Linked DNA regions of Canis lupus familiaris. The protein of the gene in region 2 purifies or fractionates together with the protein of the main gene of each other region. This does not show direct contact. Links are inferred from orthologs where the notes say so. Each region holds a gene or a part of one and is shown on either strand. Other genes may lie near its edges. The genes, in order: CDK2, SPDYC and CDK1.

What was found.
Region 1: the proteins of SPDYC (region 2) and CDK2 purify together in Homo sapiens (co-immunoprecipitation; 3 studies listed by BioGRID and IntAct, with this or other methods). This does not show direct contact. The link is inferred for Canis lupus familiaris from reciprocal best matches to the Homo sapiens genes SPDYC and CDK2.
Region 3: the proteins of SPDYC (region 2) and CDK1 purify together in Homo sapiens (co-immunoprecipitation; 3 studies listed by BioGRID and IntAct, with this or other methods). This does not show direct contact. The link is inferred for Canis lupus familiaris from reciprocal best matches to the Homo sapiens genes SPDYC and CDK1.

The regions. Positions count from the first base shown.
Region 1 is NC_049231.1:650,452-655,800, reverse strand, and holds the start of CDK2 (cyclin-dependent kinase 2), read right to left. Parts: upstream 3,288-5,349; 5' UTR 3,045-3,287; coding exon 2,929-3,044; intron 2,802-2,928; exon of another isoform or gene 2,656-2,801; intron 2,599-2,655; exon of another isoform or gene 2,395-2,598; coding exon of another isoform or gene 2,384-2,394; intron 2,214-2,383; coding exon 2,136-2,213; intron 2,033-2,135; coding exon 1,912-2,032; intron 1,226-1,911; coding exon 1,055-1,225; intron 559-1,054; coding exon 457-558; intron 1-456. Other genes in the region: melanocyte protein PMEL precursor, read left to right, coding at 4,040-4,115. UniProt on the Homo sapiens protein: Serine/threonine-protein kinase involved in the control of the cell cycle; essential for meiosis, but dispensable for mitosis. Phosphorylates CABLES1, CTNNB1, CDK2AP2, ERCC6, NBN, USP37, p53/TP53, NPM1, CDK7, RB1, BRCA2, MYC, NPAT, EZH2.
Region 2 is NC_049239.1:52,525,133-52,529,028, reverse strand, and holds the end of SPDYC (speedy protein C), read left to right. Parts: exon of another isoform or gene 1-353; 5' UTR 354-393; coding exon 394-535; intron 536-803; coding exon 804-862; intron 863-1,320; coding exon 1,321-1,406; intron 1,407-1,507; coding exon 1,508-1,679; intron 1,680-1,761; coding exon 1,762-2,104; intron 2,105-2,296; coding exon 2,297-2,331; coding exon of another isoform or gene 2,332-2,377; 3' UTR 2,378-2,564; downstream 2,565-3,896. UniProt on the Homo sapiens protein: Promotes progression through the cell cycle via binding and activation of CDK1 and CDK2. Involved in the spindle-assembly checkpoint. Required for recruitment of MAD2L1, BUBR1 and BUB1 to kinetochores.
Region 3 is NC_049225.1:13,553,484-13,559,062, reverse strand, and holds the start of CDK1 (cyclin-dependent kinase 1), read right to left. Parts: upstream 3,168-5,579; 5' UTR 3,083-3,167; exon of another isoform or gene 2,958-3,082; intron 2,581-2,957; exon of another isoform or gene 1,938-2,580; intron 1,284-1,937; 5' UTR 1,258-1,283; coding exon 1,221-1,257; intron 1-1,220. UniProt on the Homo sapiens protein: Plays a key role in the control of the eukaryotic cell cycle by modulating the centrosome cycle as well as mitotic onset; promotes G2-M transition via association with multiple interphase cyclins.

The DNA.
Region 1 (5,349 bases), on a different chromosome or scaffold from region 2:
TGCAGTTTAAATAAAAGGTATGATAGATAGATAAATAAATAAATAAATAAATAAATAAATAAATAAATAAATGGATAACATGAATACAGTTGATTTCACCATATTCCTGGGACCTTACTAGAAGGTCTACAGGCCAAATGAAGGAGGCACTGAATGGTAGGTACTCATTCTCCCAAATATATGCAGACTAAAGCTAAAACAGTTGCAGAAATGATTTAGCTCAATTTGGGGACAAGAGACGTGTATTTAATGCTAAGGCCATTTGAGGATATACTGACATTGTAGTTGACCTCAGGGACGATAGTCCTATCCTTTCCCCCGTACCCGCTTTGGTCCTACTCTAAGAGAAAGGATCCTAGATAATAGAAGGGCCATGAGTCTAGGCCAAGAAAAAGTTCTGTTGTTTTTGAATGTGGGGAGGAGAGAGCTGGGTGGAACTCGGGCTTGCCTCCATACCATCTCAGCAAAGATGCAGCCCAAGCTCCAGATATCTACGGCTGTGGAGTAGTACTTGCAGCCCAGAAGGATTTCAGGTGCTCGGTACCACAGGGTCACCACCTGGGAACAAGAGCAAGAAGGGGAGAGGTGGTGCATGGGGCACAGTGATTCCCACATGTCAGCTCCTCGGTGTTACTCTGCTAGTTCTCAGCCTGATCACAAGCAGCTTCTCTCCCTCTATCTTTCTTTTCCCATCTTTCTGACTTCCCCTGCGTAAAGTGATTACACACAACTTCTTAGACCAGAGTTAGCCTCGCCTGTGGCTCCAAAGACCCTATTTTCTGAACCCAAAACTTTCAACCTTCCTGGAAAACTCCTGAGAGAAGTGGTCATAATTTTAATGATATGCCATCCAGCTCTGCTGGCTTGGTACCTACTGAAGCCCAGCTAGCCCCGCAATATGAACTCAGTGCATACTCTAAAACCTCCTGGGGTGCCAGAGATACTTTCATCTAGGGAGAGAGAAACTGCTGGCCAGATAGGTTTAGTCATTTTGTAAATGTCCTTGTTAACACCTCCCAGAAAGTTCAGAGAAGAAGTGCAGACAGGGTCTCACCTCATGGGTGTAAGTACGAACAGGGACTCCAAAGGCTCTGGCTAATCCAAAGTCTGCTAGCTTGATGGCCCCCTCTGCGTTGATAAGCAGATTCTGAGGTTTGAGGTCTCGGTGCAGAACCCGATGAGAATGGCAGAAGGCTAGGCCCTGGAGCAGCTGGAACAGATAGCTCTGACGAAGGAGAGAGAGAGGACTTTGTTTCTCGACCACAGTGAGCTATTAGGCTCCACTCTGCCTGCAAAGCTGTACTAAAGCCTTTTACTGTATTAGATTATAATTGCATGTTTATAAGCTGTATCTCCCATTGGACTGCTAGTCTAGTGAAGATAAGGACTGGGTCCTATTTAGTTTTGCATCTCTTTTCCATATTCTGTGCCTAGCACATTGAAGGTGTTCAGTAAATGAGCACCGAATAAATGTTTGTTGATAGATTGAAAATAGCTCAGGGAGCAGAGAACCCAGCCCTAAGACAGACAACAGAGACTCACTGGCTATTTCTCCTACCAAACTAGTGGAAGGGGTTCTTGGAGGAATCTACCAAGTACCAAGTACCCTCCAGTCTCGTTTATCTGAGTTTCATCTGACCTTCCACCTGAGCTACAAAGTTGACTCACTAGAGTTTCAACTTCTTTGATTCTCCTGCCCTGCCCAGGGGTTAATAAGCATAATGAGCAGTGAAAGAGCCACAAAAGAAAGGTGTGTGTGTGTGTGTGTGTGTGTGTGTGTGTGTGTGTGTGTAGGGGGATGAGGGCTGGGAAGGAAGCTAAGATCACAGATCATCACCCAGTCTGAATTGCCTGCCTTCAGTCCCCCCAAAACGTGCCCATGTTGGGGGAGGAGTTGATGAGAAGGATTACCTTGATGAGGGGAAGAGGAATGCCAGTCAAAGCAGAAGCATCCATAAATTTCTTCAGATCCTGGTGCAGAAATTCAAAAACCAGGTAGAGTTTGTTTTCTGTGTGGATGACATCCAATAGCCTAGGGAGGGAGGTCCAGGAATGGAGGTGAGGAAGAGCGATGCCCCGGCCTCACAGAAGACATTCTCTTTTACCGCTGAAATATCTCCCAGACACATACTTACTTGACAATGTTCGGGTGGTTAAGCTCCTTAAGCAGGGAGATCTCTCGTATAGCAGTACTGGGTACACCCTCCGTCTCACTTGGGGAGGTTGAGAAAGCAGAGAGAGGAATGTGGTTACAAATACTGCTTTTCCCCCAGCCCAGTCTCCGAACGAGACACCACCCCAGCACACCCTAGGAAAGTGACAGAAGAGAAAGGGGGCTGTAGGAGTTAATTCACAGGTGGACAGGGGGGTGCTTTTTGGATACGTTAAGGTCATTATTTCTTCTTCTCCCACGGGTAGGTAAGTAAAGCCTTCTGGTGGAGGTGAAGAAGAGAGAAGGTAACGGGAGGAAAGAAGAGTAGCAGCACCCAGCCTCCCTAGACGGGCCAGTGAGGTTCAACTGCCATTCTTTTGAAAGGGGTAGAGAATTCTAAGAGGAGGGTGGGGTTGGGGCAGTGAGGAGGGCTCTTCATTCAGAAAGGTGCTCTTCACCGGTTCCCACAGACCTCAACTCCACGGGGAGTCTTGGACCCCCACCTCAGAGGCCTCCTTCCTCTTCCTGAGTCTTTCGGACTACACGTTTGGGGGCATCACTCGGCTTTGGGGAGAAAGTTTCCCACAGACTCTACAGTGCCCTATACTCTGCACAGGGAAACCCTTCACTGTCCTCCAGCCCACCTCTCCACTTCGAAAGAAGTCCCACCCTGCTACCTTCCGGTCCTCGGACGGCTACCCGCCTGTCGGGGTGGGGGCGGGGGGCACTCAAGAAGCTCCGGAGTTAGAGGAGTCCCGGGTACAGAGGCCACTCACGTGTCCAGGCGGATTTTTTTAAGCGCCACCACTTCTCCCGTCACTTTGTTTTTGGCTTTGTACACAACTCCGTACGTGCCCTCTCCGATCTTTTCCACTTTTTGGAAGTTCTCCATGAAGCAAGCGCTAGAGTCGGGTCAGCCCGGCCCCGGAGCGGGGGCCTGGGAACCCAGCAAAAGGCGGGCCCCGGCTCTCGGGGGCTGGAGGAGGGGAAACAGGGCCCAGCTCCGCGGCCTCAGGTCGGGATGGAACGGAGTGTATCTCTCGCTCTTGTCAATTTGTCCAACTTGAAACAATGTTGCCGCCTCCCCTCGGGTTCCCTACCGCCAGTGGAGGCCCCGCCCCTCCTTCCCGCGTTTCCCTGGCCCCGCCCCCGGCCCTTCCCATTGGCCAGCGTCAGAGCGGGGGGGCGAGCCCAGCGCGTCGCTGCCGCCAGTGACCCCACCTCGCGCAAGGTTACTACCGAGGGTCTTCGATACAAGTTTGTCACCTTGGGGAAGCTAAATAAACGTCTTTTTCCAAGTACCCAATTTGGAGTCGAGCTTCCTTCCTGTGTCCTGGGCCTGGAGGGATTTCCTGACCTCTGATTCGCCAACCCCAGAGAAAATGTGTCTTGCCCTAAGATTGAATTCCACCTGGCCCAGGGAACCGCCTTTGAAAAGCAGGAAGCTAGGAATCTCATCGTATGGGTGTCCTGGGCCTTGGACACGTCGTTCGCGCCCCTCTCTGCCTATCCTATCCTATCTCTCTGTTTGGAGATGCAGGGTCTCCATCTGTTTGAGAGGTTTCCTGGTTTGACTCAAAAACCAGATTGATCCCCTTAGCCTGTGGTGCACTGCAGGCGTCGAGTACACACGATGTAGCTAGCTGCCCTGCAGTCCATGTTTCCCCGGTCAAGAAGGTCGTGACCCAGTGAAACCAGAAACTGTCATTGAGTAGCGGGATGTCCAGGGACCAGGATCCCTTTTCAGTTATTTCTCTGGCCCTCCTGCCCCTCCCAAGCCTCTCCAGGAGGGAAAGGAGGATGGGCTATGCAAATGAGCACCCCTCTCCTATATAGGGGCTTGTCCCAGCACCCCCAGCGCCTTTGGTTGCTGGAAGAAAGAACAAGATGAATCTGGTGCCGAGAAAATGCCTTCTCCATGTGGCTGTGATGGGTGTTCTTCTGGCTGTGGGGGCCACAGAAGGTTAGTGTGGGGAGTATGGACATGAACAAGTGGGAGTTTGGGGTTGCACACCTGCTCTGATTTTTCTCCCTCCTCATGGGAGATACCAGCAATATTTCAGGCTTCTTCCACCCATTTGATTTAGCGAGGACATGGGCATCTGAAGTCCCTCTCTAGGTGGAAATTTGGGACTGAGCCTGAAAATAATCCCATCTGCTTGGAAGGGCAAAAGGATAGTAGGTCTTTGGGGCTCTAATTCTGAGACACCCCCACCCCACCCCCGGGGCAATGAGCTGGAGCAGGGGCTTTGAAAGGGAAATAAGTGGAAGACTTAGGGAATGACTCAGGCACTTGGGATAGGGTATTTAAAAGAAAGGAGTAAGAGAATGTGGTATTGATGTGGATAGAAAAGGTAAGGAGGTATCACCTCCCCTCTTTGGAATGGGGATGGGTAAATATAGCTCAGGCTTTTGTCCTGGGGCTGGAAGAGACAGGCAGAGGGGTCTCAGCTGAGCATCACATGAAAGGGCTCTGGGGGATTGGGGCCTCGTGACGGGAGCAAGGGGTGGGGGTGGGGGTGGTGAGAGGGTCTGGAATGTCCCGTGCTGCTCTGAGGAGGGAGGGTTGGGAGTGAAGAATGGGGTATCTTATGATTCTCTTGCTTTAGCGGTGGGATGCTCAGTGAGATTATTCTAGATCTACCCCCCACCCCCCCGCCCTCAGCAGACTCAGCTAGGTCTCCACTACACATTGAAAAGGAGTTTCTCCTGTGCTAAAATATAGATATCATATCCTAGTCTCCCCTTTCTCTCTCTAGATCCCTGGTCTCACAGACTTCTAGGAAATTTTCCTGATCTGACTTCCCTCATTTGTGCTCCAGTTTCAAGCCTTTTACTATTTCCTTAATGTATTCTGGAAATATTCTTTTCATTCTTGTGCACCTGAGCCTCTTAAAAGATGGTGCTTACTTTTTGGATAATGATTTTTTTAAGTCATAAGAAGACATTTTTAGATGAAACTTTATACGAATTGGGTTTGATCATTTTGTCTAGGGGGAAGTGACATTGTGCTTATTCAAGAAAATGTTCATATTTTTTTACAGATACGTATTGAGATTGTAGGGTTAAAATAACAAAATATCTGGAATTTGCTTTTAAATACTTTAGCCAACAAACAAAAGAGGATAGATAAAGCAAATGTGGCAAAATGATAGTTGTTGCATCTGGGTGAGGTGTAAGTAGATCCATCATATCCC
Region 2 (3,896 bases):
CCTACCCGGATGAAGTGAGATAATGCCCTCAAAGAATTGAGCACAGCTCCAGGCACTTAGGAAGCCCTCAGTGGTGGCTGTTGCTGCTATGCTTACTCTCCAGCTTGGCCTGGGGCCCCAGGATGGGGTGGGGGGAGCTGCAGCCTCCAGGAATTCTGCTGCTTCTCTGGTCTCCTCACCCCACACGTATGCCCATTTCTAGTCTGCTCCGAGCACTGCACTCCCACCCTCCCAAGTCTCCATGCTCATCTCACCACTTCCTGGAGGTCTTTTGTCAGGCCAGCCTCAAAAACCCCCTTGATTTGTGGGGAGCGAGGGGGTAGGTGCTAATCCTGAGGCTACTTTCTCTACAGGCCATCCTGCCCCACCCCACCCGTCCCCATCCCCTAGGAGATGAGTGACGCTCAAGACTTTGCCACTTTCCCAGTGGTTGCCACCCAGGTGAAGCTGGGGGGCTGGAGCCATCAACGTGGGGGTAGTGGGTCTGTTCATCCACGCCGGCACCAGGAGCTCCAGGCTTTTCTCAACCTTCTGGGTGAGTTCACTCAGGGACTGGCGTGGAAGCATCTGTGAGGACCAAGTGTGAAACTGAAGTGAAGGTGGGGGGGACATTCACCCGCCATGCAAGTATCAGCAATCTCTGCCCCTTCCCTTCTCAGGTGACCCCAGTTTGGCAAGGGGAGGGGAGGGGTCCTGTCAGAATGTGGGTTCAGTGGAGGTTTGAGCTTTGGAACTCTGATGCCACTCTTGTCTCGTGGGGGCTGGTGGTAACCCCAGTCCACCATTCCTCTTCTCTACTCCAGAGCACAGTTTCCTCCAGGAATTCCTTTCCAGAGATCCCTGTTTCCAGATTTCGGATAAGGTGAGGTGACACTGGGAACAGAGGCTGGGAGTCACCTGGGGCGGTCTGAATTAGTGGAGCTTGAATGCTGCTATTTCACTGGGCCTCCTGGTCTGGTACTGGGAGCATTTCTTTTTCTTTTTCTTTTTCTTTTTTTTTTTTAAGATTTTATATATTTATTCATGAGAGTCACTGAGAGAGGCAGAGACATAGGCAGAGGGAGAAGCAGGCTTCCTATGGGGAGCCTGATGCAGGACTTAATCCCAGGACCCTGGGATCACGACCTGAGCCAAAGGCAGATGCTCAAACACTGAGCCACCCAGGAGTCCTGAGCATCTCTCTTTTAAGTCTGTTTTTACCTGACCACTTCCCCTGGGTTTTCTGACCCACACCGCGGCTTCCTTGGGTGTAAATGGGCCTGGCACAGTCCCCTCTCCTGCAGGCCTCACTGTAACCTCTCCCCCTTTCTGTGTCTGCAGTATCTCCTGGCCATGGTGCTGGTCTACTTTCGGCGTGCCAACCTGAAGCTCAGCGAGTACACCCATAGCAACTTGTTCTTGGCCCTGTGAGTGGCCCTGGGTGGTGGGGACATTCATAAGGAGTTGTAGGATGGGGCAGTGCAGGTGCTTATGGCCTCTGCTCTCTGCCTGCTGTCTCCATGACTAGGTTTCTTGCAAACGACATGGAGGAGGATCTTGAGGACCCTAAATGTGTGATTTTCCTGTGGGCCCTGGGAAAAGATTGGCGTTGTCGGGTAGCAGACTTCCTACATCAAAGGGATAAGCTGTGGGCCCGGATGGGCTTCCGGGCCATGGTGAGCCGCCAGTGCTGTGAGGAGGTGAGGCCCCACCATCAACCCGGGTTGGGGAAACAAGGTTGGACTTCCCACCCCCACTTACTGTGTACTCTACTCATGCCAGGTCATGGCCAAGGAGCCGTCCCACTGGGCCTGGACTCGAGAGCGGCGTCCCCACCACGGTGGGGCTCAGAGGGGCTGCACAAAACCCCGAGTTGCCCTCCCCGGGGGCCCCGGCCTCTCACCACCTGCCTGTTCCCTCTGTAGTTTGCCCTCTTCCCCCAGCCACTGCAGCCACCAGCCCCACCCCTTGCCTGTCTTGTTCAAGTGTCCTTCCCCAAACCCTGAGCGACACTGCCCTGACCCGCAAGCTTGTCTTTCGGTGGCTGGAGACCCCTTGGGGGGGGGCTTCCTCATCATCCTGCCCCCCCAACTGCAACTAGAGCCAGGCACCTACACTCTCTATAGTGAGTTGGGGACAGCAGCTGGGGGTGGGCTTAGGAGCCTGGGAGGTGGGTGTGGGGCTTGACAGAATGGGAAGGAGGGGCATAGGGCCTGGGGTCCAGCAGGCCTGGGCACCTGTCCCACCTTTGCCAACTCCTACTTGTTTGCTTTTGCTAAGTGTCCTCTCTGAGCCTCTCTTTGTCCTTTCTCTCTAGTCCTCCCGAAGCCTCCACCATGCCCTGGGCACTGACATGTGCAGAGTGAAGAGCAGCCCACCTCCTTGCCTGCTGACCTAAGCCCCACTGGCTGTGGCCCCCTGGCCTTCTGTCTTATTGGCTTCAGGCTGGCAGTGCTGCCCAGGTCCCCTGTCACCTCCTCCCAACTGTATGCACTCTGACCCTGGCCCCTCTAATAAACTCGTGTCTATAGGACACCAACTGTGCTTAGGCCCTGGCCTGGCTCCTTGACCCAGGGTCGGGGTAGGGACGAAATTGGAGAGGGAATCCTTTTTTTTTTTTTTTTTTTTAATTTTTATTTATTTATGATAGTCACAGAGAGAGAGAGAGAGAGAGGCAGAGACACAGGCAGAGGGAGAAGCAGGCTCCATGCACCGGGAGCCCGACGTGGGATTCGATCCCGGGTCTCCAGGATCGCGCCCTGGGCCAAAGGCAGGTGCCAAACCATTGTGCCACCCAGGGATCCCTGGAGAGGGAATCCTGCCGGGTTTAGGTACCAGTGATTGAGACTCGTGAGCACGGGCTCTGTAATAACAATTCCTCTTTCCATTGATGACCCCTTTCCATTGATGACCAGTCATCCTGAACTGCTATTTCACTGGGCCTCTATATGTTTCCCCTCTATAATGTCACCCATAAATGATGAAATCTACACAGTGTGGATGAAGTTGAATGAGAAAAAGTATATGCAGCCCTTACAAGAGGCCCTGGAACCTCTAGGACAAAAAAAGCTTAAATGGTGAAGCCCCCTAGAGTTAGCCTAGACATACCTGCAAGGGCCAGGTCTGCTTAGGAATAAGACCTGGTCCCTTCGCTGGGCTGCAATAAAATATAATGCAATTATTATAATACTTGTCCCCTGTCCCCAAGAGGAAATTTGTCAATGAGGGAGCAGAGAAGGCTTTCCAGAGGAGGTGGCATTAGAGCTGGGCCTTGACCAATGTCAAGTTTGCCCATGGAGGGGCAGAAGTCATGAGGTAGGCTATTCTAGAAGATTATTCCAGAGGAATAGATTAGACTTGGTCTCTGATGCCAGACAGCTTCTATCTAACTTCTAGGTTTCTATGTGACCTTGTCATATTACTTAATCGCCATAGCGTCATCCACAAAATGGATATTATACTTAAATTGGGTGTTGTGAGATTCGAATGCATTAATCCTAGAAGTGTTTACAACAGTCTCGGGCAGCCTGGGTGAGTCAGGGGTTTAGCGCTGCCTTCAGCCCAGGGCATGATCCTAGAGACCCGGGATCAAGTCCCACATCAGGCTCCCTGCATGGAGCCTGCTTCTCCCTCTGCCTATGTCTTTGCCTCTCTCTCTCTCATGAATAAATAAATAGAATCTTGAAAAAAGAAAAGAACAATCTCAAGAACAGAGCTCAGATGTGAGGCCTGCGTGTTCCTGGTAGAGGAAATGGCTGCCTAGGGATGGTCTGGAGGGAAGGGTGTGTTTGGGGAGTGGCTGGAGCTGAAGCTGAAGTCCACATGGGTCAGAGAGGGGAATCTGGGCACCCTTCCTATGCATGCTCTATGAGTGGCTCCCAAGAAGCATGGAAGTAAAAAAGCTGGGAGATAGCAGA
Region 3 (5,579 bases), on a different chromosome or scaffold from region 2:
TACCCTTCCACTTGTGCCATATAAACATTCTTTAAAAACTTCAATGAAAGTACTACAGAGGGGAATGATCATATACAAGAGTTACTGGTTTTAGGGACACCTGGGTAGCTCAGTTGTTTAAGTGCCTGCCTTCAGCTCAAGTCATAATCCCAGAGTCCTGGGATCAAGCCCTATATCAAGTTCCTGCTCTGTGGAGAGCCTGCTTCTTCCTCTGAGCCTCCCCCTGCTTTCTCTCTCTCTCTCTCTCTAATGGATAAATAAAATCTTTAAAAAAAAAAGTTGTTTTAGAATTGCTTAAGCAGGTATACATGACATGTCATTTAAATCAAGGGAAATTAAAAAATTTATTTAAATTGGTTTAATAGGGATCCCTGGGTGGCGCAGCGGTTTAGCGCCTGCCTTTGGCCCAGGGCGCGATCCTGGAGACCAGGGATCGAATCCCACATCGGGCTCCTGGTGCATAGAGCCTGCTTCTCCCTCTGCCTATGTCTCTGCCTCTCTCTCTCTCTCTCTCTCTCTGTGTGACTATCATAAATAAATAAAAATTAAAAAATAAATAAATAAATAAATAAATTGGTTTAATAGTCTATTATACTAGTTTAGAAAGTTTGGGTAAAAGCACTTAAAAAGAATTGTACATGATTAAAAGTACACTATTAAACTTAATAGAATTCTACTGCCCTAGGCGTATCTGGGTGGCTCAGTCGATTAAGCGTCTGCCTTCAGCTCAGGTCCTGATCCCAGAGTTCTGGGATACAGACCCGCATGGACTCCCTGTTCATTCAGCAAGGAGCCAGTTTTTCCCTCTCCCTCTGAAGCTCCCCCTGCTTGTGCTCTCTCAAGTAAATAAATAAAAATCTTAAAAAAAAAAAAAAAAAATTCTACTTCCCTAACCTCTCCCCACCAAAACATAACACAAGATCTCAATAGTGTTTTCAAAATACAAATATTGCTTTAAGTGTTTAGTACTTAAAAAATATAAGATTTTTAGGGGGATGGGAGAGGGTTGGCAGGGAATCCTATCAGAATAATTTCAATTTTCTTGAAATCTGAACATTTTGTGCATATGTTACCATGTAAAGAACATATAATCAAGGCACATTAGCACTGAAGGACACCTTAAAGATTGGATTTCAATAAATATTTACAGGTTTTCATGTCCCAGATATTAGAGCATTACCAAATCATTTTTTAACTCTTTTATTATTAAAACCACTCACCTTCTCCAATTTTCTCTATTTTGGTATAATCTTCCATAGTTAATCAACAGATACGGTAGGATCCTAAAATGAGAGAAAAAATTAATTTGATCATATGCCACTAACTCAAAAGATGGTTTTAAGTTTTTAATGATAGTATAAAGCATTTTCCAGTGTCTACTGCAGTATTAATTTCCCATAAATACTAATTATGTTAAAACATTTACAAGGGAAGGGACCTTTGCAATAAGATTTTTCCACCTTTTTTAGCTCTTAAAACATTGGATTTGTATATCTTAGCCAGTGTAGTACTTTGCTTCTTGCAATCAGATTAACCCTCAAATTCAGGTATCAAACTTATCTATCCCTCCCAAACAAAAAAACAAGTGTGTTTCTTTATGTAACACTTCTAAGGAGCATCAATTTCTGCCAGTTATACCCAGCCATTTCCACAAATGTTATTTGTGTTAAGTAAGTCAAATAATGTTATTTGACTGAATTTGTACCCCTTTTCTAAGAAAATTCAAAAGGAAAAAAGTTTTAATGACACAAATAGAGCTACTGTGGCCGTAATAATCAACCACCATCAGCAAGACTGCTTAAACGTCAGTTGAGAGGCTGACAAGACCTTCAAGACGTCCTCAGCTGAGAAGTTTGCCAAAGAAATCTTCACTTCAGAAGCCCAGAGTAGAATTACCTTGACTTTCTAACACACTCATCCCTGATAAGATTACGTACATAGGTCACTGGGTAGTCGACGCTCGCACTGGTCTCCGGGATCATGCCAGAAGTAGAAGCAAGAAAATCTTTTTAAATGAACGAAGTTGCACTACACTGGCTAGGAGTTCCCATCTTAGACATTTTTAATTTTACAGAACGGTAATCATCCCTTCTACGACGCCCAGATTTAACACGCCTGACGAACAATCCAACTGTCGAGCTCGCTCTGAGCAAGCCTTTCAAAGCTGGGTTTCCTAGGCCTCGCCGGCTCTCCGTGTCGCTGCTGTGACAATCTCACAGAGAGGACGCGGCTTCACAAAGCCTCTGGAGGCCCTGCCCCTGGGGCCCGGCACCGCGACACCACAGCTTCGTCTCCTACCCAGAGGCCTCCAGGTCTTTGAAGCAAGCAAGCAGGCGTGCACATGGGGAGCTCTAGTGTTAAACAAAGACCGATCAGGAATACTGAGCACACGCGTATGTGCTTTCTCGAGGCGTTTCTGAGCCTTCCCTGTGGGCCGATGGCACAGCACATACAACAGCTTAGAGTCAAGGGGCCACCCCGAGCTTCCTCCTCCTCTGGTTCTGTCCTTGGCCGGGTCTCTCCACAGCTCCGGGCGCGCCAGGGCCGCGGGCGCAGGGAACCCCGGGGAGGCCCACAGGCCAGCGGGGCCCGCCGGCGCTCCCACGCGGGCACCTGGCCCAGGTGGGGTCTGGCCGGCCACGCCAGGGAGCAGGGCGGCGCGCGCGGGGCCCAGGCCGGAGCCCGGCAATCGGCGTCGTCCGGCCGGCGCCACGCCCCGACGGCCTCCTCAGCCGGCCGGCGGCCTCACCCGCCCGGGAGCGCGCCCGCCGCGTCGGGGCTCCCGCCAGCCTCCCCGGAGGGCCGGGCCCCGGGGCCCCAGCGAGGGCGCGGCCTAGGATCCGGAGGCCCGGCCCGGCCCGGCCCGGCCCCGCGCGGCCCCCCGCGGCCTCCCACCACCAGCCGCGGCCTCCGAGCCGGGCCCCGCGGCGCAGACGCCCCGCAGGAACGACCCTGACCTCAGCGAGGCCGCCCGCCTTACTGTCCCGCGGCGAAAGCAGCGGCCGCCTCCACGTCCGCGTCGCTCTCGCCTCAACTTCCCAGAGCCAGCTTTGAAGCGGAGCGCGAGCTGTTTCAAACTCACCGCGCTAAAGGGCCGGGGGCCCGCCAATCAGGCAGCCCGTAGACTTTCAAAGGAGCCAATCGGAGCTCAGCGACGCTCGGGGCTGGGCTTCCCGGGAGGCCGAAGCGCGAAAGAGGGTGGAAACGGCGGCTGGCGAAAAAGCAGGAGGGCGGGCGCCAACTGAGTCCCAGCGCAGGCGCTTTCTTTCATCGCTGGGGAGCGTCGTCCTACTGCTTCTGGTCGTCGGAAATCTACTGTTGGCCCTGGGTCGGGTTCTTCCCTGTTCAGTATTGGCACAATTAAAACGTACTGCACTCAGCTCTCTCATCACAAAAGCGATGCTACCTTGACATTCAGATTCCATCACTTTCACTTCTAATACTTAAAGCTACCGTAAATGGTGTTTTTCTAAGTGGGTGATTTTCCGGCTGGGCCAAAGGAATCCATTTCACACACGCATATATGCTTTGTTTTTACTTTATTTTCAGAATTTTAAAGTTTCCATTTACTTAAAATTCCATGTATTTAAAAATGAAAGACAAAATTTTACATTTTTAGATTTTTAAATATTTTCACAACAGAATTTTAGTTTTTTAGAACACAAAAATTCACAAGTCTTTGGGGGGGGGGGAGACCTAAATTATACTTTAAATAACTAAGTATCAAAAACTCTCTCTCTCTCTCTCTCTCTCTCACTGCCCTCCACAATAACCTTAAGAGAGATGTTTGCACTTGAACATCATTCTTTCAGTCTTTAAAAAATAAAATAGAACTGGCAATAAGAGTCACCTAATAAGGGCTGCTCTTAATGGAATGTAGAACAAGGATGGATTACCATGAACGCTACAAAGACCTGTCAGAAGAGCCAGATTAGGTGCTGGCTTGGACAGCAATGTGCTAAAATTGGAACAAAACAGATTAAGTTGGTCCCTGCGCAAAGATGACGCACAAATTCTTGAACTGTTCCATATACCAAAAAAAAAAAAAAAAAAGACCCAGATTAGGATAAACAATGAGCTAGTATATCACATGCATGTAAGTGTTTAGTACCTTTTTTACACAGTGAGAAGCATCTGTCATCTGGCACCATTTGTGGTACCAACACATGGTCTTAACAATTTTGTGCTCCTAGGTGACAGAGCACTTGGGGTTCACATTGGAGGTAGGTGGTTGTGAAATCTCTGCCTGAACCTAAGAACTTGTAAAACTTACTTTTCAACACCCAAGTTCACATTTTAAATGAAAATTGACTACCCCAGAGAAGTACTCTAGGGAAGATGACTGTTCTCTGTCAGTTCAGGGTACTGATTTTAATGAGTGCATGTAGATATTTCTCTCTGGGAGGCCTCAACAAGGCATTCATTTTATAGCACCTAATAACAGCTTATAATTCATTATATCCATTTTACATTCAACATGAAGATCACAAGCTTCTATAGCTGTGATGCTAGATTTTTCATTTTAACTCAATTATCTTTGTTTTTAAACTTTAAGGGGTTATTGTAAATTCATCCTAGCATCTTAGCAAATTCAGTTTATTAATTCTTTGGGCCAACTTGAATTTAGGGTCTCTAAAGTACTTTATGGACAGAAAATTAATCAGATACAATTCTTGCTTAGGCTTGGGGGTGGGAGAACACAGGATTAGAATTTTATGATGGTACTTATGTTGTAACTTATGCTATAAAGTGACATGAGAACAGAGAGAGGTAAATCACCAAATTCAAACAGACACTGGAGAAAGAACTGTGGAGTGGGGCTTCCAAACAGTAAGCATTGAAAATCTATCTGAATAATTCAGGATGCCTCCAATTGTAGGGTACAGGGAGTCCACAGGCAGGCGACCATTGGAGGCTGCAGGGCCTCTGGGATGTGAAGCAGGGAAGAGAGTTTGGAATGAGAATCTTGAAGAGCCCTGAATAATGTCCTAAGGGGCTGCACAAGAGAAGTATTTTTTTTTTCTTTAGATTTTATTTATTTATCTGAGACCGAAAGAGAGGAAGATAGAGAAAGCGTGAGTTGGGAGAAGGGGCAGACTTCTTGTGGAGCAGGAAGCAGGCAATAGGGGGAGATCCTCCACCCTGGGGTCATGACCTGAGTCTAAGGCACATGCTTAACTGACCGAGCCACCCAAGTGCCCCAGAACTATTTTAGAACTATTCTCCAGGAGTTGTGAAAAAACAATGAAAGAAGAGAGGATGGAAAGGCATGTGCTACAAAAAGTAGCATATTTATATTTCAGAGAATTCCATTTAGAAAAAAAGGAAAAGATCAGTTGGCACTGCATATAAGCTTTTTTTTTCTTTTTTTTTTTTTTGATATAAATATTGCAGGATACCCGGGTGGCTAGTGGTTGAGCATCTGCCTTTGGCTCAGGCCATGGTCCTGAGGTCCTGGGATAGAGTTCTGCATCGTGCTTCTCACAGGGAGCCTGCTTCTCTCTCTGCCTATGTTTCTGCTTCTCTGTGTGTGTCTCTCATGAATAAATAAAATCTTTAAAAAAAAAAAAAAAAAGAAA